4 linked regions of the Styela clava genome follow. The protein of the gene in region 1 purifies or fractionates together with the protein of each later gene. This does not show direct contact. Links are inferred from orthologs where the notes say so. Each region holds a gene or a part of one and is shown on either strand. Other genes may lie near its edges.

The links.
Region 2: the proteins of intraflagellar transport protein 57 homolog (region 1) and clusterin-associated protein 1-like purify together in Homo sapiens (affinity purification with mass spectrometry; 4 studies listed by BioGRID and IntAct, counting the BioPlex papers as one, with this or other methods). This does not show direct contact. The link is inferred for Styela clava from reciprocal best matches to the Homo sapiens genes IFT57 and CLUAP1.
Region 3: the proteins of intraflagellar transport protein 57 homolog (region 1) and intraflagellar transport protein 27 homolog purify together in Homo sapiens (co-immunoprecipitation; 3 studies listed by BioGRID and IntAct, with this or other methods). This does not show direct contact. The link is inferred for Styela clava from reciprocal best matches to the Homo sapiens genes IFT57 and IFT27.
Region 4: the proteins of intraflagellar transport protein 57 homolog (region 1) and intraflagellar transport protein 74 homolog purify together in Homo sapiens (affinity purification with mass spectrometry; 3 studies listed by BioGRID and IntAct, counting the BioPlex papers as one, with this or other methods). This does not show direct contact. The link is inferred for Styela clava from reciprocal best matches to the Homo sapiens genes IFT57 and IFT74.

The regions. Positions count from the first base shown.
Region 1 is NC_135253.1:4,226,658-4,233,852, reverse strand, and holds the start of intraflagellar transport protein 57 homolog, read right to left. Parts: upstream 3,003-7,195; 5' UTR 2,723-3,002; coding exon 2,674-2,722; intron 825-2,673; coding exon 716-824; intron 417-715; coding exon 254-416; intron 154-253; coding exon 35-153; intron 1-34. UniProt on the Homo sapiens protein: Required for the formation of cilia. Plays an indirect role in sonic hedgehog signaling, cilia being required for all activity of the hedgehog pathway.
Region 2 is NC_135250.1:18,041,256-18,048,412, forward strand, and holds clusterin-associated protein 1-like, read right to left. Parts: upstream 3,029-7,157; 5' UTR 2,961-3,028; coding exon 2,001-2,960; intron 1,564-2,000; coding exon 1,249-1,563; 3' UTR 309-1,248; downstream 1-308. UniProt on the Homo sapiens protein: Required for cilia biogenesis. Appears to function within the multiple intraflagellar transport complex B (IFT-B). Key regulator of hedgehog signaling.
Region 3 is NC_135255.1:20,072,459-20,079,093, forward strand, and holds intraflagellar transport protein 27 homolog, read left to right. Parts: upstream 1-4,222; 5' UTR 4,223-4,331; coding exon 4,332-4,895; 3' UTR 4,896-6,133; downstream 6,134-6,635. UniProt on the Homo sapiens protein: Small GTPase-like component of the intraflagellar transport (IFT) complex B that promotes the exit of the BBSome complex from cilia via its interaction with ARL6. Not involved in entry of the BBSome complex into cilium. Prevents aggregation of GTP-free ARL6.
Region 4 is NC_135260.1:21,842,456-21,849,651, reverse strand, and holds the start of intraflagellar transport protein 74 homolog, read right to left. Parts: upstream 3,010-7,196; 5' UTR 2,863-3,009; coding exon 2,814-2,862; intron 1,622-2,813; coding exon 1,578-1,621; intron 1,357-1,577; coding exon 1,169-1,356; intron 1-1,168. UniProt on the Homo sapiens protein: Component of the intraflagellar transport (IFT) complex B: together with IFT81, forms a tubulin-binding module that specifically mediates transport of tubulin within the cilium. Binds beta-tubulin via its basic region. Required for ciliogenesis.

The sequences.
Region 1 (7,195 bases):
AATAAATGGAAATTATCTAGATGACAATATTTACCTTCCCCACTGGAAATTACTTGACCTCAATGCTTCTTCAGTCAAACGATCAAGGATATAACAAACATATTCTCCACATCCTTGCTTCAACTTGGATGGTGGAAAATCAATCGCGACTCCCTGAAAATTTTCAAGAAAGAATAAAAAATCACAAATACAATATTTAGTCTCTCCACGATTGAAAATGTTTAATTATGATTTAAAAAATTGTTATACATACCATTCGTTTTACTTCTTCCAATATACTTGATATAGTAGCATTGGGATCATCAAATTCTTGTGGCATGTCAAATGGACGACCAATGATGTTAAGAAGCCAGGCAGAAATTGAAGTGAATGCATGAAACTGTTCACCAGGATTTGTAGGGACCGCAAAATAATGTCTGTGAGCAAACCAAAAGATGTCATAAATAAAAAGAGACAGATGGCTTGTATTCAAAAACTGAAATATGGTTCGAACAGCAAATGTACAATCATTTTTGTGACTGCTGTTAGCATCATTGTAAATATTATACAAAAGTATGTGTGAAGCGAAATTACAAACTGAAATTTTTGACCCACTTTATAAATTGCAATACGAGATTACAATTATCACAATCTTTTATTTTCACCGTCAAAAAACCCTTTGAGTATTGACCAAAGATTTTCTGAAAGTCCCCACCCATTTCATAGCTGATAATACCTTGTTAGAGGTTTCATGTTGTTTGGCCTCATGAAATTTTCCTCAAAATTTAACAATTTCAGCTTATCCAGCAAATCTGACATCACTTCAAATACTTGATATGAAGCACCTGTTAATTGGAATGTAATTAGATAAAATCGAGATTATTCAAATTCAGGATTTTGTACATGGACCCTTAACCAAAAATTTATACCCAACATGACTAATAAAGTAAAGTTACCGTACTACCCACATCTACAGACCGACAAGTAGGAATGTTACAAAACGCACATTTTCGCAATAAAAAATGTACGCATCACTTCTGCTAGGTACCGTTACCGCCATACTTGAGTACCGCATATAAAAACGGCTACGGATTGCCAGCGATAGTTAGTGTTTCCATGAAATTTTGACATAAATTAGATAAAAAACACGACTATGACCTTGTTTTTGAATTTTTCCATTAGCGCAAATATTTCCTATCATGCGAATCTTTTAAAAATACCTTCCAACTTAAACGTGCTACAAATTAATGATCCCGTCTAATGACACCTATAAAATCTATAATGACACGCGTGTCTCTTTCTTAACTTGAAACTTGCCAATTTTTGTGAAGTTTGCTCGATCCGAACATCGTTAATTATTAGCCGGAACGAACCACTGTTCATTTAACATACCCACCTCCGACTTTGAATTTGCGACAATCCGCCGATGGCCTCATTGACCGTTGCCAGAATTAAATTATGAAAGAGCCTTGATATTTCATAGATGTGACGCATATCGAGAGATTAGAGATTAATATAGAATGTTTTCCACAATAAATAAAATTCTCTAAAAAAAACAGAATTTGCAAGCGTTTTTCGAAAACGCTACGAAATATTTCAAGACACGTTTAATACTATCTTAGCGTGAGTCTGTCAACTCGCAGATAGTTATCGACCGAATTGTCGACATCATCTCGGGCGCTGAATTTTCTCGTTCTGAGTTTTCGTAAACACAGTAAATATCTTACGTGCAGGTAGATTTTAAATTGTTCAGTGAATACAGTCAGATATGGAAGCTTTAAATCAGTTTATTGACTTCGAGAAATTAAGACATTTTCTTGTACATAATTAATTAAAAAAGACTGTTATTTCATTGAAAAGAATTTGTAAAGTTGTTTTATTTGGTTTATATTTTCACGTTATCTTTTCGTTCCAAATTTCATTTGATTACCTTCCAAAATAGCGAAGATAGAAATTGTTATTTATCGGTCTCACATTCTTGCGGTCACAGTTTTTGAGCCAGCGTAATGCTAACCTTATGGAGAAAAATTGGCCTATCGGGCGGTACTAAAATGCCGATATCTCCGTTAATTCTTGACCGTTTTTCGCAAACTTGGTATTGTTTTCTTATTTTGACTTAGATCCATCCACTGACGCAGTTATTATTTACCGAATTTTTCGGCAAATAAGTTGCTTTTCTAGACCCAAATTTTCGGCCAGATTTGGGGGGGGGGTCGTCTTATTAGGCGAGTATAATAATTTTAATTTGTTTGGTGTCGCCTTATTATGTATTAGGGAATGTTCTTTTATGGTGGAAAAAATCGTGAGTTGAACACAATTAGATGAAAATTTAAAGAGTTTAAATTCCCGTAGTTATTATGGATTGAATATTACGCTACAAGAAAACGTCGTTATACCGGTAGGCTATTTTAACCAATGCGCAAACGCGGTGACCGCTCAAAGGGCATTGCATGGTAATTTGAGATTCCGATGTTGATGCGATTTTACAACCCCGACTTATTGGCAGGTTACCGGTACCGGTATATGTAAAAACCCATTTTTTTAGTCTTAAAAACGGTCCTCGTCTTATTGACCGGGTAGACTCATTCGCCGAGAAATACGGTAAATCCGATTGACTTCAAATTTTTTTTAACATACCTACGACAAGCTGACAAGTGAAAACAACACACAAATCATACCGGTACCGTACCGTACCTGGGCCACGGTCTTCATCTTCTCCGCCTCTTCTAACGTCATCCGTCATTATACTGCCACAGTGTACCCAAACAGCCCTTGAATATGAGAGGTATTTGATCACCGAAGACGAGGAAATGTACGAGAAGCCCACTTCGTTCTGGCAGCCGTATTGGACAGAAAAAACTTGGCACTTAGTTAGTTTTGATGCTAAATGTAGCGGTTAGATGGCCCGTGAATGTTTTTCTGACCTTCAACCTCAGAATTCATTCAAGTTCAAAATCACCATTTCAATTCAAAATATTTAACTAATTGACAGTAAAAGTATTGACAGTCAATTTTATATATTAAATGGACATTTCGGCGTAACCGAGAAAAGATTTGAGCGCCTTATCATGCATAGGGTTACCATATTTTTGTGACTTCAAATCGGGACGCCTCAAAAAACAATGACCCCCTAGCTGTGATTTTGTAACTTTACATTTTTCGATTTTACTACATAGGCCTAAACATTCCTACTTTCAAAGCTGTCCCGGCTGGCTTTATTGAACATATTGTTATCGAAATTTCATGCGCATATTCGCTGTCCAAATAATTCGAATTTGGACTAAGTAATTAGTATTGGTTTTACATGCGATACGTCTGCTACCAATGGGAATCAGCGGGAAACAAACGCATTCACCTTCAGTAAGTAGGCTAGCGCCTCGCTACACAGCAACAACGGTAACAAGAACATGTTCGTGTAACATGCTGGACGCAAAAGCGGGACTTTTGGCTGACCTGTCGGGACGGCGGGACAAAACGCTGAAAAGCGAGACCGTCCCGCCTAAAGCGGGACGTATGGTAGGCCTAACCATGCATACAACCTGCCAAAACTAAAACTTCTTTCTACAGTTATTGTCACAGTACATTTTACCATCAATATTATAATAAATCATGGTTCAATCAATTTGGACGTGGTCACATAACTGAAATATAATCAAGCGTCCTCCATGCCCCTCACATTTTCTTTGCGCGCTATTATCACAGTTTAGTTGTTGTACTATGGTTCATCAGATCAGGAGACCCAAGATTCGGATTGGTTATTCATTCATTTTTTTATTTTTCTGATTAAGGATTCAATCGTTTATTAAAAAAAATAAAGACAATAATGATAAATAAACATCACACATAATTACATACAAAAACAAGAGAGCTATGCTCAAATATATGGACCCGTCAAAAGGTGTCGCTATTTCTTTATTCTGACGCATAAAAAACGAATCTCTTGAAGTCCACAGAAATTTTTGAAATAAGTAAAAGTAATAGCCTTCTGGCGAAAAAAATCAATCTTTAATCACTGAAAATTTCAAAGCAATAGGTCCAGTATTCGAAGAAAAAAGCGATTTTATCACGACGAAAGAAAAACAAGAACAACAACATAATATTGAAACGATCGTTATGTACACTGACGTGTCCAACAAGAATATGCATCAACGGCAATTTCAGTTATCCAATGTTTCACCTAATATTTCCAAACAATCCATAGTGTTCCACTGTTGTATTCGCCATGTAGATTTCACCATAGTCATCAGTGAATTCAAGTCCTTATGTAAAACCGTAAATATATACTACTACTAGATGTCCAACTCCGCTCGCCCTATAATAAACAAACAAAGGCGATGTTGCACCTCCAAGTGGCGGGCGTCACGGTTGGTTTTGTTCAGACAAGATGCTTAACGACGACGACGCTCCTGCATAAAAAAACTACCCTGTTCATTGATGACTGATCGAAATATTTGCTGAAGGACGAAGAAATTTGATAAAAATGAATAAATAATTGTGAAAATGAAGACAAAGTCTGTCTTGCAAATGACCAGGATGATGTGACAACTTCCTTGTCGAAAGAAAGCAAGGCATCAAAAATGCGATGCATTGCAAAAAATGTCAGTCAGATGTAGGTAAAGTAGTGACGAAAATGAATACTTTGCACTTTATATAAAAAAAACGCTTGGTAGCACAGCATTTTGGTCTCACTCCATCTCAAGTATTGTAGCTTTCACAGTAGTTTTTTCTCCACTTGACCTATAATCAGGGCTGCCACAACGTCCTTATTTTTAGAATTTGTCCTTATTTTGAAGATCTTTGTTTTAGGAAATATTTTTGCAATTTGCTTATAATATATTAATGTTAAAAAATATTTGGCGAACCGGCAGCAAGGTTGCCGCGGACCGGCGGTTGAGAACCACTGATTTAGAAGACTTTTATCTTACACTTAAAAGGGGGTCTGACAGATGTTTGGTCCAATGTGGTATATCACATGTTGAAGGTACCAGTATTTGGAGCCCTTCATACGCTGGAGAAGCAATGAAATGTTGTTGTTTTTTAAATATGACTACAGAATGTGTTGCATGTAGCTGTATAGCATTTATTTTGTTAAAAAATCCTTGAGATAATCACCTGTTGTAGACTTTCAGTGTGTAAAATAATTAATGAAATTTAAGCTGATCTAATGCATATTTTGCTATTTGCAAAACTTGGCGTTGCTTCAAATTCAGACATCTCCGAAATCCTAGCAACAGATGCAGGAAAAAACCTACAAAGAAAAATTTCCCCAGTTCATCTGTTATTAATGACATGAATACTGTTGGTAATTTCAGAAATAATAATCATGATACAAGTATTTAATTGCTCAATAGGAGATAGAATAATACAAATGAATTAATACCCAAAACAATTCTTTGTGCTATACCTGTGCTTAATATTTAACAGACATTTTTATCGAGCTATTGAGTTAAAAATGTTGGTCTATTAGTTTACATGGCTGTTTCAAATGTTTTTTTAGACATATCTTCATAAATTCCGTCTAGATGTGTTTCCATGCCAAAACCCCATCTGATTACAGCAAATCATTCTTCAAAAGTGAGTTTCGAGACGTCTGCAAAAACTTATATTTTAGTTACGATATTTTGGAATAAATTGCCCACAACGATCGAACCTTGTCTACCATCTAAGCATGTATGTGTTTATATATAAGTATAACAGCCACTTTGACAAAATATTATTTGAAACAAAAATGTGAATACCCCACAAAACAAATTGGAATTAATAAAATGTAACGGTTCCAGGAGAAATATTAATGCATTCAATGAATGTGGTGGATTTTGCAGTAGCAAAAAAGTTATTGCTATTGATCACAAATCAATAATTCAAAAACACTCGACAAAATAATTCAAAACTTTTTGGCACATCTAAAATTATAAATATATATATATATATATGTTGAAGCCATGTTTAGATAATAGCAATAATAGATATCCAATTTATGTGAAAAAAGTTATTAGTACCAGCCTGAAATCAAGCAAAATGGGTTATCATGACAAACGTAAAACACCTCTTAGCTTGTAATATGCAGCTGGTGACTTCGTATACAATGACAGAATGAGTCTGGGAAAAAATTATCAAGATCAGTAGAACTCCATCATAAAACACTAATTAATTGAAGTTAAAATATGTGTGTTTAATTTATGTTTTTCATACAGACGTCACAATTTCAATCACCCATCAGTCAGTCAATTTATATTCTTGTTCACTGCTTTGATCACACAGCATAAATCCTCACACTGCAACTTTTTTATGATCCGAAAATACACATATCTCTTATCAAAATTTACATTCCTTGACAAATCATTACTGGGTACCTATAAGAACATTTACAACTTACTCTTTTTTTATGCTGAACAATCGTAGCACGAAGCGGCTCTCTACTAGACTACATCTACTCATGGGAGCTTTAAAGTGAATTTAAAATCTTACTGCCAATGTGCTTTCGAGTGCTGAACCGGTCCTAGGGCCTTCCCACTCAATTGATTGTTCCTCTATTTTGTTTTGTAATCTGCATTCTATCAGTTCTATAGTCAAGTATATCGTGTAATATTTCATGTGCACAACTAACTTGAATGTTTATAAGTCACTCACTTAACCTTGACGTGAGACAGCGCCGTCAGAATACAGAAAAACGGAGGAAGTCGCACGATGATTTTCGAAGCAATAATAATCTGTCAGCACCAAGTCAAGCGTGTCGGCGAATTCAACACCGGGACCAAATTTCCGGAGATACACGGGATTGGTAAAACAAAATTGCTGTCTCGATTTCTCCCCATTTCTTCATGCTAAAGGAAATTTTCTAATTCTCCTTTTAACATTATACTTGTATTAGCATTCTAAAAGGTCAATATATTCGCTCCAATCATATTTTATTTTTTACATTAAACAGAAGTTGCATGAATGGATTATAATGAAAATGAATAAATGTGAATACCGTAACACTTATTATTTTCAAGTTATTCACAATTTTTCAACTGATGTGCATTTTCTTACAATTGGGACCGCGTCCACAGGTTTCAAGAACCCTTCTAAGTATTCCTGCAATTCCCACAAGAGCCATCTTTTGTAAATATTTCCAATATATTCGGAAATCTATATCTTTTAAATAAATTTATAGCTCGTGTAAAACTGCTAAATCTTTGTCCAATATTGATATTTTTTTTAATGATCTACGACG
Region 2 (7,157 bases), on another chromosome or scaffold:
GCTCTATCGCACAGATGACCTGTGGCGCAGTCTCGGGTCTCAGACTTGGATTTTCGATGACACGTTTAGTAACGAGCTTAACACTGGATCCCTTAACTACGATGCTGACTGGGCATATCAAAAAAACTGGTTTTGGAAAGCGCTGGAAAGAAAAATATTTTTCCGTAGCACTTTGGAATGTTCGACCCTCGTCGCTAACTTCCCTCCATTTCCCAGACATTTTTGAACCTCAAACATCAAAGTTAACCACATTTGGCCAGCGGACCGCAGTTTGCCCCTGCCTTATAACAATCAAGAGACAAGAGAAATATTTACAAAAATAGTTTCATTTCAATACGTGCAACAGTATAAACTAATTTAATTATACAAAATATAACAAACACTCAACACAGTATTATTGAATATTATAATGAAATGCTCATTACATGACTAAGGTACACAAGTTACACAACTAATACTTTTGGCCACTTTTAACTACATAATTGTCATAATTATCTTCTGCTTTTTAAATTCAGGAGAGCAATGCTTTAATAATAAATTTACATGTCATATCATAACATGGCTAATGCCAGCTAAATTTGAGCGATCAAACGTTAAAGCTGTACTAATTATCACATTAAAGCGTCGTGCCCATGAATTATAAAATTATAAAAATTTCGGATACATAGTGAGTCTTCTTACAATTCAAAAGATAATTGAACAAAAAAACTATAGAAGTACTATCTTTTAAAACTGAACCAGATTGGTCCATTAGTTGCAGATAATAGCTATTTTTTCACAACAGCAACAGCCCTAAAAACCCCAACAGCGACAATTATTAAAAACGAAGCATAGGTACTGAGTGCACTTGTGTCCAAATAAAGCTATAAAGACTTTTAAATAGAGATTCCGGTATTGTGCAAAAATGGTGGGAATTTCTTGACAATGAGTTTTTTTCCTATTACTGTTACGTAAAAAAATTACAACACAAAATTACACAACTACATCAGACATAGAGAGTTTAAACAAAAGTTATTCGAAAGACCATATATTGAGCACTTCACCAGTGTAATATATATATATATACATGGAACAAATATTACCACTGAGTGAAACTAGCAGAGTTTGATATAAGTGACAATCTAAAAATTTCCAAAAAAAATCATGACAAAAAGGTTGATTAATACACTTCTGTTTTTTTTCTCTTTACGAAAGTAGATCAAGCATTCAATGCTGATAAGAGTACGTGAAAGAATTGTAGTGGGAGGCTTAAAATTCCCCATCGTCATCATCAATAACATCATGATGACGTCTTGGGTCGCCACCTGCACCAATCGCTCTTTCTCCTGCCATGTCATCAAGGAAGTCATCACTATCGTCTCCTGTAAGATCCTCATTATCATCGACAACACTCAGATTGCTGCTTGACAAGGTTTCTTCATCATCGTCATCATCACTCCCTTCATCACCATACATATTATTTCTTGGACCCACACCAGCAGGTGGTCTGCTTGGTCGGCTTGTTTGATGGTATGCTGGACGTTCTCCTTCCATACTATCCTCCAAATCGCTTCCTCCCTCATCCTAAGATATTGAATACATTGTTAGAACAAAACATGTCTATTGATACTGAATTGAACAAACTTGTTTAGAAATTTCCATGTTGAATAAATGGCTAAAACAGACTACTGTACAGTTTGAGCATCAAGTTTTTCTTTATAAATGCTGTTAAATTAGAAGATCAAAATGCCAAATGGAATTCAGCTTGCAAATTAGTTTTCCTTTGTGTTAAAACCCACTAGGGATGTTGAAATTATGTATATATACATTTCTAGTACACAATATGAATATTGTGTATTATTGAATTGATTAGTGTATTTATTAATAACTAGATATTATGTTAACAGTCTTTAACTCTATATAACATTTCACCCAGTACACCACCAACATTTTTGTTGCTGTTTTCTTTTAGAATTACATATCACAAATCATATACATCTGATCCGAAACTTCATACATACCATATCTTGCTCCATTTGATCCATTGCAACTGTGCTCAAGATTGTTCTTTTTTCTTCTTCTCTCAAACGATCTTGCATTTTTTTCATTGTTGATTCAGTTTCTTCCATTCTCATTTGTTCTTGTCCCTTCAAGTCTTCCAACTGCTGTTCAAGATGAGTCATATTCCGGAATTTATATAAGTAAGATTCATATTGTATTTTGAGATCTTCTTCTAGTTGCTCGAACTCATCCATAAATGCAGGTCGCACACTTTCCAGTGTTTTAAGTCTCTTTTGCGATCTTTCAAGTTCGGTTTTTCGTTTTGCAATCTTGGCTTCTAGGTTAACTTCATCAGAAGCAATATTGTCAAGCATGTGTAATGTTTTTTGTACTTCTTTCTCAACCGATTGAATACTAATACGCAGCCCTTTTTCAATTTCATTTATTTCCAAAGGCTGAGCTAAAGCTGTCAATCTGGCTTCTCGCAAGTCAATTTCTTTGCCCAAAAGGTCATACAAAAGAGCACCTCTTTCAGTAATTTCCGTTGAGAGTTTTCGTACAGCTTTTAAGTCTTGTATTTTTGAATCAATGTCGAAAGACAGAGATGATGCGTCTCCAGAATCGTTTTCTTTTCCATCAGATGAATGTGTCGATTTCATTGCACTGTATAAAACGCTAGCTATCTTTACAAGTTCTTTCACAGCATACCCATCAGCCATGTAAAGCCTTTTTGTGTTCAGTTTAATATGAGCTTTCGTAGCAACAAATTGTGAGGAAGATTTGATGAATATAACTCTGTCTTGTTCAGTATCAGTGTCTGTGGGTAGAGTAACATTTGGATCATACCTTTGTACAAGCCATAGTAAGATTTCGGCTACTAGAGGGAAATTTGGCGTTCTAAAATTTTCGATTGAAATCATTCTTGGGTATCCAAGAGCCCTCATCATTTCAGTGAAGTTTCGTAGATCACGATAAGACATATTTCTGATGTTTGCACCTTTCCTAAAAAGTTCTAGATTATGATTTACACTGCAAAAACAATTTAACATTGTGTCATATAAAAACAAAGTTAAGATAAATCAAGACAAATTGGAAATGAAGTTACCATCTTATGCTCACTGGATAAAGGATGAAGGAGGCAGGTGTGATAGATAAAAAATATCTGAAGCATTCTCACTGTAAACTCCAAAACAGGTTGCTTACACCTCCAAAGATACATAAAGAAAATTACCCAAGTCTGCAAGTCGTCCTATAACTGTAAAATATCACAACAAGTGGCACAGAACAGAGAAACTTTAGGCATATAGACTATGAACTATATGCTGACTCTCCTCATCATGCAGTCATGTGTAAGCGAGTTATACCGTACGGTACGGTACTGTCATGTGTTCGAGACAGCATGGACTGACAGACTGATGGATGCGTGGAGGTTTTGTTTGACATCCTCTGATCCTGATTCCAGGATTCTATAATATGATAATCATTTATCTCCCTCTACCTGTATTTATTTGTAGATCAGTATAGTACGGTAAGTTACTGTACAGCCGTATGCCTGTATGTAGTCTACTGATGTGCAGATGTACGGTACCAGTACCGATGTGAGATGTCTAGGCTACCTAACTGGGCCCTACTAAAAAGGTAGGTATCATAGGTATCACTCACTAAAAAGGTAGGTATCATAGGTATCACTCACTAAAAAGGTAGGTATCAGTAGTAGATGACTAAAAAGGTAGGTATCAGTAGTAGATGACTAAAAGGTAGGTATCAGTAGTAAATAACTAAAAAGGTAGGTATCAGTAGTAAATGACTAAAAAGGTAGGTATCAGTAGTAAATGACTAAAAAGGTAGGTATCAGTAACAGGTTAGGGTTAGGCGATAATTTTTTTCCAATTTTCCTTATTTTAGTCCTATTATCAGTTCGAAGACTAGCCAAGGGCCTCCCGTAGTATTTATACCTAAAATTATGGCCTAACCCTAACCTAGTACACATATTACATTCCGATGTCCGCCATCTCGGTTCGCATACTTCGGGAGCCCCCTTTTTTAGTCATCTACTACTGATACCTACCGGTACCTTTTTAGTTATTTACTACTGATACCTACCTTTTTAGTCATCTACTACTGATACCTACCTTTTTAGTCATTTATTACTGATACCTATCTTTTTATGGAGTGATACCTATGATACCTGTGATACCTACCGTACCTTTTTAGTAGGGTCCACCTAATTGACTTGAAGTTCCTACTGCCTTTGGACTGTATGGATTATGGACATACTGACATATAATACAATTTTATTTCGATCTTATGATACCGTAACTAAGCGCAGAGAAATAAAAGTCGTTATCATCCAAAGATCGTCATTACTCTACATGCAGAAATGCGGGCTCTAGCGACGTCGTCTATTAAATCCAAGATAGGAATTTCACCACCTGGGTTACCCTGGCCGCCAATTCCCAGCATCCAATTCTGCAAGAAGATAAATCGTAAACCTAATTCTGTCACTAACGTGGCACGATGTCATATGAAGAGCGGATGTCATGAGATCATCGAGATGGGAGTTTGGTTTATTTATTATACAAACTAACGTTCCTGATCGGAATTTAATTTTTTATATGTTCCCACGTGTCCCATTTTTTTTTTATTTATTTCAGAATCTTACTTCGGAAAACAAAAACACTATGCATTCAACGGTATTATTTGCCGGATTTCTGTCCAACTTTGATTTCGTTTATTTATTATATGTTCCCCATATTGGAATTTTTTTAAATTTTGATATTTTTTGCATTACAACGATAAATACTTGCTCTAGAAAAATATTCGTTAAAGTATTTTTCAAACTTGCCGTAAATGACTACCGAAAATTGCATATTTCACTCTAAAAATGGTTTTTGCTAATTTATTATATTTTCCCCAAATCGGAATTCTTTTAAATTATGATATTTTTCGCATTACAACGATAAAGTCTTGCTCGAGAAAAATAATTGTTAAAGTATGTTTCAAACTTGTCGTAAATGACTACCGAAAATCGCATATTTCACCTTAAAAATGGTTTTTGCTAATTTATTATATGTTCCCCAAATTGGAATTTTTTTGAATTTCGATATTTTTTGCATTACATCAATAAAGTCTTGTTCTAAAAAAATAATCGTTAAAGTATGTTTCAAACTTGCCGTAAATGACTACCGGAAATCGCATATTTCACCCTAAAAAGGTTTTTGCTAATTTATTATATGTTCCCCAAATTAGAATTTTTTCAAATTTTGATCTTTTTTGCGTTACATCAATAAAATATTGCTCTAAAAAAATAATAGTTAAAGTATGTTTCAAACTTGCCGTAAATGACTACCGAAAATCACATATTTCACCTTAAAAATAGTTTTTGGTAATTTATTATATGTTTCCCAAATTGGGATTTTTTTAAATTTTGATATTTTTTGCATTACATTAATAAAGTCTTGCTCGAGAAAAATAATCGTTAAAGTATGTTTCAAACTTGTCGTAAATGACTACCGAAAATCGCATATTTCACCTTAAAAATGGTTTTTGCTAATTTATTATATGTTCCCCAAATTGGAATTTTTTTAAATTTCGATATTTTTTGCATTACATCAATAAAGTCTTGCTCTAGAAAAATAATCGTTAAAGTATGTTTCAAACTTGCCGTAAATGACTACCGAAAATCGCATATTTCACCTCAAAAATAGTTTTTGCTAATTTATTATATGTTCCCCAAATTTGAATTTTTTAAAATCTATGTATTTTTCGCATTACATTAATAAAGTCTTGCTCTAGAAAAATAATCGTTAAAGTATGTTTCAAACTTGTCGTAAACGACTACCGAAAATCGCATATTTCACCTTAAAAATGGTTTTTGCTAATTTATTATATGTTCCCCAAATTGGAATTTTTTTAAATTTCGATATTTTTTGCATTACATCAATAAAGTCTTGCTCTAGAAAAATAATCGTTAAAGTATGTTTCAAACTTGCCGTAAATGACTACCGAAAATCGCATATTTCGCCCAAAAATGGTTTTTGCTACTTTATTATATGTTCCCCAAATTAGAATTTTTTCAAATTTTGATCTTTTTTGCATTACATCAATAAAATGTTGCTCTAGAAAAATAATCGTTAAAGTATGTTTCAAATTTGCCATAAATGGCTACCGAAAATCGCATATTTCACCCTAAAATCGCAGACCTAAAGATTTTTATAACGCTGATGTCTTGAAAATAATCTTGGGTGGTATCGGTGCAATAAAGCGGAGTCGGTATTGCAAGAACAAATTTGTAGAATTAATAACATCGAAAAAGTACGAATCAAAACTAAATATAGTCGGGCAGTTTGGAACACTTTTTATGACCGTGGATTTCCGTGATTTACGTAGTAATGTTCTTATTTTGTTGACGCAACCGCAGGTTACATTAAAAAGACAATTAAATAATAAAGCAAGACATTATAAATAGACTCGGATTAGTCGCCAATTGAATACTTTGCGCAACTGCAAAATCATCACCCGACAACATATCAGAAAATCATCCATCAAAAAAATGGGCTTTTTTCACAAGTGGCTTGCCTGATTTCGGCGACAGTTTCATGGAAATTCTTCGGATTTACACCCCCACTCTTCTGATAACTCCGACAGCGCCCTTAAACCTATTTCAAATTCAAAGTCTTACCGAATCTACCTTTATGAAAAATTCTAGTTAATAATGCTTCTAAAGAGTATTTCGAGATATTTTGTACAAAGCCTCCATCATAAAAACACCACCGCCTCCGCTAAAAAATATAAATAATCCAGTTACGGTTTTAGGGTGATCGCTAGGAATGCAGTATGCACCGGAACTTCAAATTCTCAAATTATTCCGAATGCGCAACTGGATAAATAAATTTGGTATTTCACAACGTGTTTTATTAAAATTTCACATTTTTGCATTAGTGGCAAGAGATCCGTATTTCACCCAGCCTCCGGATACAGAAATTATAAACATAATATAAATTATCCCCCATTGACGAAGGCTTTGTACAAAAGATCCGTATTTCGCTCATGTAGAAATGTAAAAAACGCCGTTATGTCAGCGTAACTAGGCTAAGACAAAGATTACGCACTTGAGGTAATAATTAAATAGTATCGTTATCGGTATATCGGCTTTTTTCAGATATCGTTATCGGCGT
Region 3 (6,635 bases), on another chromosome or scaffold:
TGACGGAACCCAGAGCAGATAAATTAAATATATTTGTTAGTTAAACTGTTTCACTAAAATCTCATTCTAAACTTTTTTTAAATTTTTTTAAAAGGCCCGGCTCACCTTAACCCGGATTGTTATGATTATTAAATTATATAATTCTTGTCATAACTCAATGATAATGGGTTGTATTGTTTTTAATATCATTTATGAACGGGACTTAGTAATTAAAGCACGGTTGAACGTTAGTTTTACCTACAACTTTGAAATCATCACGCACTAATATGATGCGCAATACCCACTCAAACATGTTTTTCAGTTGACTCAACCGTTTGACGTCTTGTCGTTCCTATATAGGTTATAGGTTAGTAGACTACGTTGGATATTCTAGAACCCCATTTTTATAAAACATTGGTTGAATGCGAGGTGTATCTCAGTATTATTGCCATTGACCAACCTAAAAAATCCGGTTGAAAAATTTGAATACTGGCGATCTTCATAATTGTTTTCATGCCAAGGTTTTATTAATATTTAGAATTATTCTCAAACCACAGTATATAATTTATTTTGTCCCAATTCTACCGCGCCATTGAATGGTAATTTAAATAAAATATGATCACGCGTCAACTGACATAACGACACCCACTTAATTGCTTACTTATTTTTTCTGACGAAGTTGACTCAATTTTTTCGCGTATTTTGAATAGGTAATGAGTTCATAGTTCAGTAGACTACCTAAAAAATTTAATTTGATTTCAAAACATAAACAGAATGAAATAACGGAACAACCGAAAATAATATCTTTTTTACAATTTGGTTACACAATTCCCGCTAAGGAGGGTGATCTTAAACTAGGTTCCGATTGGGTTTTACACTATTCAGCAATATATACCGTGTAAAACGCGGATAATCATATGAGTATAATTTTATTCCAACTCCGTAATCAGTATAATAGCATAAACAACGCGTTTGATATCAAAGTTCAGTGAATGATTATTTTTCGTGCTTGCAGCGAGCCATTTTCTTCCGGATATGAGTTTATGACTCCAAACCTTTTTAAACGACTCGGTAGTTTTGTGATTGACAGCCGCATTCCTAAACGTGAATGCGTTGCTAGACTATTTTTTGTTTCGAAGCTGGAGGTTTTAGGAATTTCAAAATAGGACTTTCATATTTATGAGGAAAAAGCCGATAACATGGCTCATTGTATACCGTACCTAACCACGGCCTTTCTCGCCAGGTTACCGGTCCATGTCGGATAACTGAACAGTTCATACTGTCATACTATTCATAGGCATAGCGCATAGGGTGTCACAGCTAGATAGGATAGGATTTAAATATTTATCCCGGGGGAGAGGAAAGCCGATAAGCGAACCACGGCCTCTCGTCCGGTTACCAGTCCAGGTCGGGTATGTGATTAGTTAGCCAGCTATTTGTTTTCGGAAGCATGGACTTGATGGCGGGGGAACCGGTAACCGACCATCGGTTACATCATACATGAACCACCCTACGGTGGCGAGGAGTCCAGCAATCCTCTCGCACATGATCATCCCTGCATGGGATGCGAACCCACGCAGAGTAATTTGAGGTGCTGTGGTGAGCGTATTCCTAACGCTCCAGACTGGATTCCATGGCAGGTGCACGCCCGAGGGCGCTAGCGCTCCGCAAAAATGCACGCGAGCGAAATCAATTTTGCACGCCGAAAATTTGCAATTGCTCACCAATGTAAATCGGTTTAAATGGTTTTAAAATCAATAATCCAGTAATATAAAGATGCCAAAATATTATACCTCCACGATTGTCGACAAATACCAGCTTGCAAGATTTGGTCTGATCGAAATATTGCGAAGCAAAAAGACCATGGACCTTTCCCCAACCTTTGACCCGCGAAAAATTCCTCTCATTGTTACGTCCTTTTTTGCATCTTGCTGATTGGCCAATGTCACAAAGTAAACAAGGAAGTCGATGCTCGGGGAAAGGTCCATATCGTGTTGAATGATAGGAAATAGGAATCCCGTGAGAATAGTTATGGACGAAAAGATCGCCTCCGCACCAATGGCCAAGTACGGCTCTGATCATACAATAATTTTACACGAATGTACTGAACAGTACCGGTATCTAAAGTTGCTCAAACACTCCCAAAATTAGTGACAAAGTATGAAAATAATGTTTGGGGTCAAAGGTCAAACGTCCATTTTTGCTCTAATTTTCATCCATTAATTCTACGTAAAAACACTACCAAAATTAATGACAAAGTATGTCCATTTTGCTCTGGTTCAACGTATTTTTTATCCAATAATTTTACGCGGATGTACTGAACAGTACCGGTATCCAAAGTCGCACAAACACTCTCAAAATTAGCGACAAACTGTAGAAATAATGTTTGGGGTCAAAGGTCAAACGTCCATTTTTTCTCTGATTCAACGTAATTTTTATCCGATACCGGTAATTTTACGCGGATGTATTGAGAGGTATCTGATGTCAAAGTCAGTTGCACGCGAGTGCAGTTGTTTTGCACGTCGTGAGCTATAATTGCACGCCAGGAATTCTTATTTGCACGCGGGAATTTCTGATTGCACGCCCGATTTCTCGTTCAAAAAGGCCATGAAATCCAGACTGGCTAACGCTTAGCCCGTTGAGCCACACCGCCGCGCCATACTGAGACCAGACGCCCCTTGTTTGTGAGACACATTGAGTGTTTGTTTAATTGAACCAAATGGAGGGAAATTCTTGGAATTTGGATAGTGTGCCATACTAAACTACTAGTGGGCGTAGCATACAATTTTATTTCGATCTTTCGTCTACAACACAGAACGCACACAAAAAAATTGCTCAGACAATGACGACGGGGAGTTGGGCAAAACTTAGAGAAAGGTTTATAGCAAACGTTGTAACCAGTGTTTGTGCCCATTCACCCACACTCACAAAACTGGAAAAACACATCACGACAATCTATAACTGAAAAAATGAATAAATTTATAAACAGCATACATGAACACAAGAAAGTAATATTTACGGGCTACTTACTTCTACAGTTGTATATAATTTTGGTGTGTAAAAGTGGTGAAAATTGCGGAATAAGAAGAGTGAGATTTACGGTGTGTGCCGGACTGCCGGTGCATGTGCCGAAATGCAAATCCTAAAAATCACATCTAAGTGATTAGTGTTAGCTACTGTTTTTTATATTCTTTGTAAACAAACAAAGCTAAAAAGTAAACAAACAAATTTAAAAACTCTAAAACTAGTTTCGGGCATTGCTTTTTGTTTAAAACTTTAAGGAAATGGTTAAATTTCACAAAGTTTTCATTTAAAAATTCATAATCTCGAGCATTTGCCTATGATGGTCAGTCATTAAATTACCTCTTTTTAACCAGTTTTACCGAATCAAAATTTCAGTATGCAGACATGTCGGCTAATATCCTTAACTAACATCTCTTTTTGTCAAACGCTTGAAAATCCAGTTGTGAATATTGTCTGATCTTCGATAACTTTTATTTCTTTATGATTACCGTAAGCTTCTTTTAAGGATATCACATTCCCAGATAAGTCTGTAGACGTCGCCCTTACACGTAGCTCCGATATGAATTCCATTCTTTTTTTATCAAGAACATTGAATAAAATCTTTTCCTGTGTCCATTCCATATACCAGGTTTCCTTCTAAATAATATTGCCGGTACCACATAGATTTGCGATCAGAGTTCCAGATCAAAGAGTATCCCATCGTTCAACACGTCCGCACCCCACGGTGGTCAGATCCGAATGGACATGTCAGTTCTTACCGGTCACCCCTACCTGACTAAGCCATTCAAACAGCTATTTCTCTCGTTTTCTTCTTGCAACGATCCCGATAGGAGAGAGATCACAGACGTTAGTCAGTTCTTTATCGTCGGCATCAATGCCATTCCGGGCGATCGTGCATGAAATTGACAAGCTCTATGACGTGATTGTTATGTCTTAGTGACATAATTTTTGGATGGCATAGTCAGGTGGGGGTTGTGTCAAAAAAATTTTATGCTACGCTACGTCATGCATCTGAAATATATAACTGTAAGTAAGCATAATTAGTATAATTTATTCATCACCATGTGAAAATTAAAGATACATTCACAAACAGAAGCAAAGCATTGTTAGGTATACCAGTAATGTAATTTAATTGCCTTATTATCGTCACATACTAATTCTCTCCACATACCTACTGCATTGACCCACACAGTCTTTCAAATGCACAGCACTGAAATATTTTTCATTTGCATTATTACAATAGTATTTTAATTAATATTGTGTAATATAGTTAGTGTCTAATAATATCAAACCTATTGGTGATTGAAAATTTCCACGGAAAAAATAAAATGGGAGTTCTACGAGCAAAATGTGTCATTGTTGGTGACTGTACTGTCGGGAAAAGTGCGATTACACAAGTTTTTCACAGCGATGGGACGATGTTTCCAAAAAACTACACGATGACTACGGGAGTCGAGGTTTGTCAAAAAGTCATTCCTGTTCGAGAACGTGGTGATTTTGTCGATATTTTTATGTTCGATTCAGCTGGAAAAGATGTTTTTTCTGAAATCTGTGAAAAACATTGGGACGATATTGGAATGCTTGCTGTTGTTTTTGATGTTACGGACATCGAGTCGCTTAACCGTGTGAAAAACTGGCGGAATAAAATGAAAGAACATATCAACCCGGAAAAAAATATTCCGAGCGTTCTCATCGGTAACAAAGTGGATTTGGACCTAAGGCGGCAGGTGACAACAGAGGAAGGTGAAGAACTTGCCGAACAATTGGGAATGACGTACTTTGAAGTTTCTGCAAAAGGCAATGAAGGAATTGAAGCACCTTTTCAATATCTTGCTCAAAAGTTTGCAGACCATCATCAAGACTCTCGAGAAAATGTACAAATGCTAGAATAACTGTTTATATCTATTACTTGTAAATAGTACTAATAGTGTCAACTTTGATACGAAACGTTCAATGAACCGGAACTAGACAGCACTAGCTCCATTCTCATTCAGACTATTTTATTCTGACCGTTTATGACAAAAAATAAGCTCTTACTGTTATGGTTCTTTGTTTTATTATTTTCTGGGTTAGAATTAACAAAGCATACCTGCCTAAAGGAATACTGGTATTGTTGATAAAGCGCATAATAATATAGTACTATATTCGTAATAATATGAAGTCGAGTTGGACTAAACTGAAAAATACATTCATTTTGGTAAAATTCTTTCCCCGAAATAAAATTGGATTAGTTGGAGTTGTCTATAAATGTCAACTCTCAATTTATTATATTGCATTATAGAATTTAGGAATAATTTTGAAAAGTTTAAGTTATAAAATATGCTTGACCAAAATACCCTCATTTCAATGTTTGAAAAACTGTAAAAAAGAAGAGATGGTCAAACTATTATTCATCATAACTCTCCTGCATTCCCAAATCAAACTGTAACTTCAATAAGTTCTCTGTAGGACATGACCCTTCTCAGTATATAATTTTACTTTCATATTTGTATTAATCATTTATGCAGCTTAGGTGGATAATTGGCTACATCTGGCTGTTTTTTACATGTACAAATTCATATTTGAAGGTTCTAATTTTGTTTTCGTCTTTTCTAAATAATTTGTGGATTTTTATGGAATCTTTGTATTGTTTTGTGTTAGAATATTAGGTGCTATACTGTTGTCCCACCACTAAATTTCTATTTTTCTCAAATTCTGTTTATCTTAGGTTAGGTTAATATAAGTTAGAAATTGTGGGGATGAAATTCGGCTCTCTCTGGCCAGTGCTGGGTTATTGCCCTGACTCGAGTTGGATTAGAGTCACTGTTCATAAAAGTGACTCAAGACGTATAATTGATATGTCTTGGGCTCGATTTTCTGTCAGTGGGCTGAGTTATTGACCCAACTTCAGACTTGAATGACTGACTGATGACTTGTAACTCGAGTATAAGTAGTTAATGAGAAAAGCCATTTTTCCGAAACAACTAGAAAAATACTAACAACAACATAATAACAGATCAGAAACTTAGTGGTGGGACAAAAATACTAGTACGGTACCGGTACTTTATTTTTATGTAGTGCTGTATTTTGGTAAATTTATTATTGTGTGAATTTCACTGTATAATTTTTTATGTATATTTTTAGATAAAAGATTTATAATAGTGTAGTAATAGCTAAAATTTTGCCATTCAAGTCTAAGACATCAAAACTGGATTAAACATAATATAGGATAAATACCCAATGGGCAGACCTACACCAACAGCTGAGTAGCGGGGGAAATGCTGGAATTCCTGGGATAAATATTTCAAATGTTTGGAAGACAATTCGTCTGCAGGAAATAAGGAATCCATTTGCTCAAATTCATATAAAGAGTTTGTTGCAGATTGCCTTCCTGTTTGGGTAAGAGTTTTGGCGCTGCAGAAGTGTGTGTTCCAATATTGCGGTAACTACCGTGATTTTGTTCGCCTACTTTGCCTCAAGTTGTGTAAAGAGACTGAAACCTATAGGGGGTTTATTCACTTGTCTAACACAGATAGTACCCGAACTCGTAATAGAACTAAAATAAGGAAAATCTGAACAAAATTATGGCCGAACCCAAACCTGGTACACATACTTCGGGAGTACCAGAGTGTCACTGTTTGATTTTCCTTTGA
Region 4 (7,196 bases), on another chromosome or scaffold:
ACCGACAGGGCCTGACGCGACTATGATATATTTATAATACCGTGATTAATGTGAAGTAATTTAATTCATTTTTTGGAATGCATTTAACTGATTTTAATTTACCGGTAGAATTTTTCTTACGTCGATTTCCTCAAAATAATGAGTGGCAGCTTTGCGATGAAGCGGAATAATTGTTGCAGCAAGAGCTCATTTAAGTTGTTCAATTTGTAAAAATACGAATCAAAACAACATATAATCGAACATGTTTATGTGCACGGTTTGTGTTGGTATTTTGGAGTGATACTATTTATATTGTCACAATCGCAGATTAAATTGATCACAAATAAATCAATTAACACATTTCGTTTCGTGGAGATTTCGAGGTGATGATTATGTATGTATGTTTCATATATACCGTACACTTTATATGTATATTTATTGTCGTTAATTAGAGATAAAGAATTAGCAAGACAGTTAAAATTCCCATAGATGTCATGGATTGAATATTACGCTACAAGAAAAAGTCATTATGGGTTATCTTGCATGGTAATTTGAGATTCCGATTCTGATGTGATTTTACTGACCGTCTTATTGGGAGGTTATAGGCAAAAAAACATTGTTTCAGGCTTAAAAACGGGCCTCATCTTACTTACTGGGTAGACTTATTCGCCGGGAAATACGGTAATTGAAATTCATGCACTGTGATATTGAAATACAAAACAGGATAATATAATTACAGTAGTTAAGGCAGTAATGGAAAAAATCACCAAATGAATTGGTTCAAAAAACTGCAAATATAAGCAGTACATAAAGAGTAAAATCAAGACTTAAGAGAATAGAATATTAACAACTTTGCAAACAAACACACTCGATACCAGTTAAGGAACCAAATTAAGTCTTTCTCATCGCTAGCGATCAGACATGGTCGAGATATAAAGAATAGATGGTCACCAATTATTGTCCAAAGCTGCCACAACTGGTTCGGCACACAATTGACTTTCTTTCAAAAATTGATTAAATATAAACAGCTCATGCTTGGCATTAGCGGTAGATATCCGAAGTGATCAGCGTTAGCAATTGTGCTCCCTCCAAGATTGAAAACTGATACTGATTACGATCTTACGATCTACTGTTGCGAAAAAATCAACAATGATTCAAATATAACTCATTATACTTAATAATACCCTACCGTATTTCTCCAAGCCAATAAGTTCTGTCTTGTATCTGTCGTTGGGGGCCTTTACTTGCTGTTTTCATTCCACCGAGACCTTGCTGTGTCATTGGTCGATCCGCTACTCTAATTCCAGCAGGTAAAACAGTGGATGTCATGCCCGGTTGCCCTCCCCTTGTACCAGGGCGACCAGTACCAGGAACTTGCTGAAATGTACACAGTACATGACATTAACTTGACTTGTCAACAGGCTTGCAGATAGTTTGCGAGTTCATTCCCAATTAAGAATTATGTGAAGGAGTAATTACTGTTAGTCGTTTGATTCACAACAAGCTCACTTTCTGCATGGTTATTAATCGATTAGGAAGTCTACATAAAGAAGAGGAAAATGAAAAAGCAGCAAAAAACATCAAAAGGTACTACTCACTCCTGTGCCTATTCTACCTCCCATCGGTGGTCTTGCTCCCATACCTGCATAAAACAATAAGTAAAACATATATATCGATAATTTATTTGATAGGGATGTATAAAAAAAATCAAAATATTAATGATGGATATGTACAAGGCCATGAAGGCAAGAGATTGGCATATTTTGATTGATATTGGAGTCCGTGCCAGAGCCAGAATCTCCTCTCCAGATTCTGAAGTGGAAGTTTCGAAACTTACTGTAATTCTATTTTTTTATTGGCGATATTCAAGTTAAAATTTTCGAATAAAGCATTGAGTTGACCCTAACAGATAATTAAAGAATGGAGTTTGAAGTTGGACCCTGAGACAAAATTGCATTCTTTTCCGCCAACCTGGAGTCGAAAGTTGTTTTTTAAATGACAGAGTTCCGACCCCACAGCACTGCACATATATTAATATTTTAATTATAACTGATGGCAATTAATCAAATCGTTTGTTAGTCAAATCATTCAAATCGCTTGAGCAAGAAAACTATTGTTTGCAAATTGCAATATTTAAAAAATCAATGAGATTGTTGTAAATAATGCATATTTAAGCATATTCAATACCATTTTACAGTACGGCACATTTCTCTGATTTCGAATTAGCGGATATATTCTAGAACAGGGGTTGTGCAACCTGCAGGCAGCGGGCCAAAATAATTTAGTTTAATCTAGTATGTGTGAGTAAGCAAAGTTGATGCGTCTATGGAGGCCAGACGTTCGTCAGCATGTGTTGATTGAAATTCAGTAACATCATTCATCGGAACTCGTTTCTGTCGTTTTCTGCCCATTAATCTCAAACACTTCATTTTTTTTTTCATTCGATAGATCGGATATTTTCTTTCCAAGTGAGTGTGGTGATTTTAGGTTACGTTTCTTTTTAGTTTATTTCACAATCTCATTGACGATTACAACACAACATAACGAAATGTTAATGCATGGTGGATTTGCTGTCCTGTAGAGTCACCCTATATTTTAACATATATTTTATATCCATTAAGTAAGTCTTGTGTGTACTTTCGTGCAGGTATGTTCAAACCCCATAGAGCAATTGATTGGACAATAATACAAAACATGTAGCTGGCAATGCTACAATCTAACAACATGCAAAATTTCTGGAATTGTCCTGTAGAGTCACTTGGAATAGCCCTTATATAAGGTAATATAAAAACAGAAAAGATGTTGCAGCGACACAAGAAATGTTTGAAACTCACCACTTGATGGCGGCCTTCCTCGCATTGAGCTTGGTGGCCTCCCAGCCATTGTGCAATATTCAAGAATGACTTCCTCACTGACAAAGATAGTAATGTCAAACAATATCTCTACTTAAGCGGCAGTATTCTTATGTTGTTTTGGCTAGAGACTTTAGATATTTAAATAAATAACAACACACTAAATATACAAAAGGTAAACACTGTGAAATATGGCAGTCTAGCTGAAATTGATACAACTGTAGAACCAGAGCATGGATGTGAAGTCTTAGCTTACTGGATTAATGTTAACCATGTTTGAAAAACGAGGTAGAATCCTTTGGATCAAATCGAATTGCGAAGGCTAAAGACTTCAGTTCATCTAAACATAGTAGTTCAATCAAAAACAGCTCGAAATGCTAGACCATAAATTTGTTGTTCAAATGCAAACAATTCATCACTTTATTTCAGAAAGTAGCCTACTGTATACTAAAGTCCTGACTTTCGGACTAATAGCACACGTTGAATGCCATTTATGAACGTACAGACGTAGCTTATTTTTTTAAAGCACATCATGTAGGTACAATTTCAGGACATAATATAGTTGAATGGGTGAAATAAAAGTCATAATAAACATTTCAATATTGCCTTAGCTGGTGGATAAGTGGCAGAGTGAATGAAATACAATACACCTCTATCTCGCTTTCCTTGCTAAATTGTTCTAAAGTAACTAAACAAAAACACATTAGACTATATTTTCATTCAGATAAATTACTGAATTAACAGCCGCCATTTTAAAAATCCTGTATTTTGATTGCGCTTCTTAAATATTTAAAGTATTAGCAGTTTAACAGTTGGACATACTAAAAAAACTGAACAAGATAGACTATGACTAATACCACATCAAACCTTAACCATGAAATTTGCATTCACTTCTGGACTTGGCAACTGACAACATTCTGACATTGCTCATCTTATGTCTGTATGCAGGACCTGCAGGTATGTCTTTTTTTAATGAAGAAAGAATATAACTTAAATGTTATAAAGTTATTGACAAGTTTTACGATCATTACATTAATTGTTAATGTTAGACTATATAGGCTATTCATGGAAGAATTCATCATCCAGATTTTTCACCATAAAGATTAGACTATACCGTAACAGTCTATAAATTAATGCCGAAAAAATTAACAAACTGCGACGATATTTCTCACACGTTATCATCCACTTATCCCCCGTAGCTCTGCGAAATTACACTAAAATGCGGCCACAAACAAAAAAGTTACGACCGAAAACCCGACCGAAGAAAAAAACAGACCATTTTTTTTTCAATCATGTTTTATGTCGCCAACTACCCATTGTCTCTTTAAAAAATAATTGAAAATCCATACAGATATGAGAGATAAAAAGATGGAACTTGGCAGGTGGGTAGAGTTGTGTTTTTTTATTAACCATCTTTAAAGTTTCGCGTTTCTACATTTAAAGGAGGGAGAATAGGGGTTGCACATTTCCAATATCTTTGCCGACCAATTTGCGACCACCGTGTTTTTGTCTGTTTGATTGCTGGGATGCGGTGCTTTGTTTATTAATTTGATGAGTTTTGTTCGAAATAACCATGTTCTTGAAATATATGACTGTCAGAAATACAATTAGAAGCCCAATTTTTTCACGCATGGCTGTGTATGCTCTAGTCTCGACGCAGTAGAAACGATGTTCAAGGCTCGAAACTCGTGGTCGCACACTGGTCGTTCGGTCGCAAATGTGTTTTCAGAGTGTCGTAATTCGAGGTTTAGCGTGTAGAATAAATGCCAATGCACCTACGGTGAAAAAATTAACGGATTACCGGTACAGGATTAGAAATATTCGTTTTAGCGATTTGAATGAAATCGTCAACAGACTGGCTACACCACCTTATTACCATTTAAAAAATGCATGTAGCAGTGTAAAGAGAATTTTTTTTCAAGTTAATTCATCTGCTTATGACTGGTATTACAGTAATACCGTACGGTACCGGTACGGTATCAACTTCAAATATTACCTGGCTAACTACTTACCCAGAATGGAAACCAGACGAGAGGCAGTGGTTCGTCATATGATCAAGCCGCCTGATATACTTTCCTCTGCGTCAGGATTAAAATGTAAACCCCTATTCTATTCAAAATTCCTCACGGACAGACGGAGCAGCCGAATACATTTTTAGTGATAGGCTTGCAGTACAATACTTTACGCACTATTTCCAGCGGTTTCCTCGACCTTTGACACAAAAATAAAGTCTCGCTACAGTATGTTACAGCTTTCAGATTTTGGTGATCTATGGATGTGTCCCCCAGTATCGGCTTCCTTGTTTACTTTGTGACATTGGCCAATCAGCAAAATGCAAAAAGTAGGATAGGATTTACATATTTATCGCAGGGGAGAGGGAAGTCGATGAGACGACTTAATCAGCGCTGGATTACCCATTGAACAATATAAGCACGTGCTTGGGGCACCAAGCAAAGAGGGGTAAGAGAAGTTTAGCAGACAACTCAGACTTCAAAATTTTCGCTCATTTCTCGTCTTCAAGTATCATATTAACCTTCTTTATTAAAAATTTTTGTTGTTTTTCCCCCTAGTATTCACCTTGTTGATGCATTTTTGTTTAAATAAATTTCTTCTCTTTTAAACTATTGGACCAATGGACTATTTGCACGGTATGGTGGTTCCGTGATCGCATTTCAACGATCTAGTGGTCAGCGATGTCGGGAGTCTTTCGATAAGGTAGACCAGAATGGTCCAAACCCTGTCATGACTTGACAAATCCTGAACTTTTTTTTTTTAGTTATTCCAACTGGGGTGGGATCCCTAGATTCAAACTCGTTTCCTAATCACAATGTCGGGAATTATGCTTGTCGAGGTCACGGAATTTCAATGCTGTATTTATAAACGTCAAGACGATGCCAATATGAGAATGGCGTCCTGTGAGCTGTGATCGGTACAATGAGAATGAATTGCCTTGTGCAGACAGGACCAAACCGATGAGATGGGTCGCACTTCTCATCTCAACTCGCGTCGGGTAACTCCTTATTCGGAGAGAGATTTTGTGCCTTTATTTTAGGAAAAACACTCCTCTGTTTTAAAATAAGGGCCATCTCTGTCTCAACGCCGCGTAATCCAGGTTATCTTGGGCTAGGTCCCGAAATACCAATTTGTCGAACTTGGTTGTTATTTGACAATAGCGTTAAGCCTGCTCACGCTGCAAATTTTTAAATTACTCAAAAATAATAATTCGTAATATAATGAGTGTCAAAAGAAAGGCGACATAAAGAAAACAAGGAGAAAATGTATTCTTGCCCACCACAACGGTAAACCACAGCTTCTGGTAAGTAACATCTGTCACGAACGAATATAATTTGAAGCGTCATAATAATTCGTAATATAATGAGTGTCAAAAGAAAGGTGACATAAAGAAAACAAGGAGAAAATGTATTCTTGCCCACCACAACGGTAAACCACAGCTTCTGGTAAGTAACATCTGTCACGAACGAATATAATTTGAAGCGTCATTATAAACCCAAACGCGAGATGCGGAAAATACAACGATAATTCTCGGTAATTAATTTCGAAATAACTGAAGGCTTTATATATATCTTCTTTAAAAGAACGCAACCCATGCAACATAATAATAGGCTGAATCGAACGGTAAACTCTAATTGTTCATTGAATTTAAAGTAAGTAAAGTCGCGATATTTCGGTCACTTTTGTTGTTTTTTTCGACTGCGGCCCGCGTGACCTTCTAAAAGGTTTTTGTGGTCCTTCTCGCTATATTGGACCACCCTGAGGTAGACTACTAAGTACCGGTAAAATTTCAAACTACAGTTGTGACTTGTTTTGTATCCTTTGGTATTTCGATTCACGATAAGATTGGACGCATGAATCTTCATCGTCGAACTTCTTCAGGATTAGAGCTTAACCGTTATACCGGTCTGATATTGCGTGTTTGCAGATATAGGCTAATATATCGGCAGTAAACGGCCGATATATATATATATATATCGGTTATGTATACCAGTTAAAAAAAAACCTAAAAAATATTCGTAAAAGTTGTTTTATTTACTGTTGGTTGTAATAATTTTTGATGGATGATACACTTATGTAGTTTATTGTTTTTATAATTTAAAATACACATAAGAGGGCACCAAAGTCTTCAGTGCTTAGGGCACCAAAGGGACATAATCCGCCCCTGGGCTTAATGATATGGCGAACCACGGCCTCTCGTCCTGTTACCAGTTCATGTCGGGTATGGGATTAGTTATGTCGAAAATAAGTGAAGCACAACCGGTGTATAGCAAAACGATTTTATTTGCCGATGTTTTGCTATACACCGGTTGTGCTTCACTTATCTTCAACATGAATATACCTGGTGGCAAT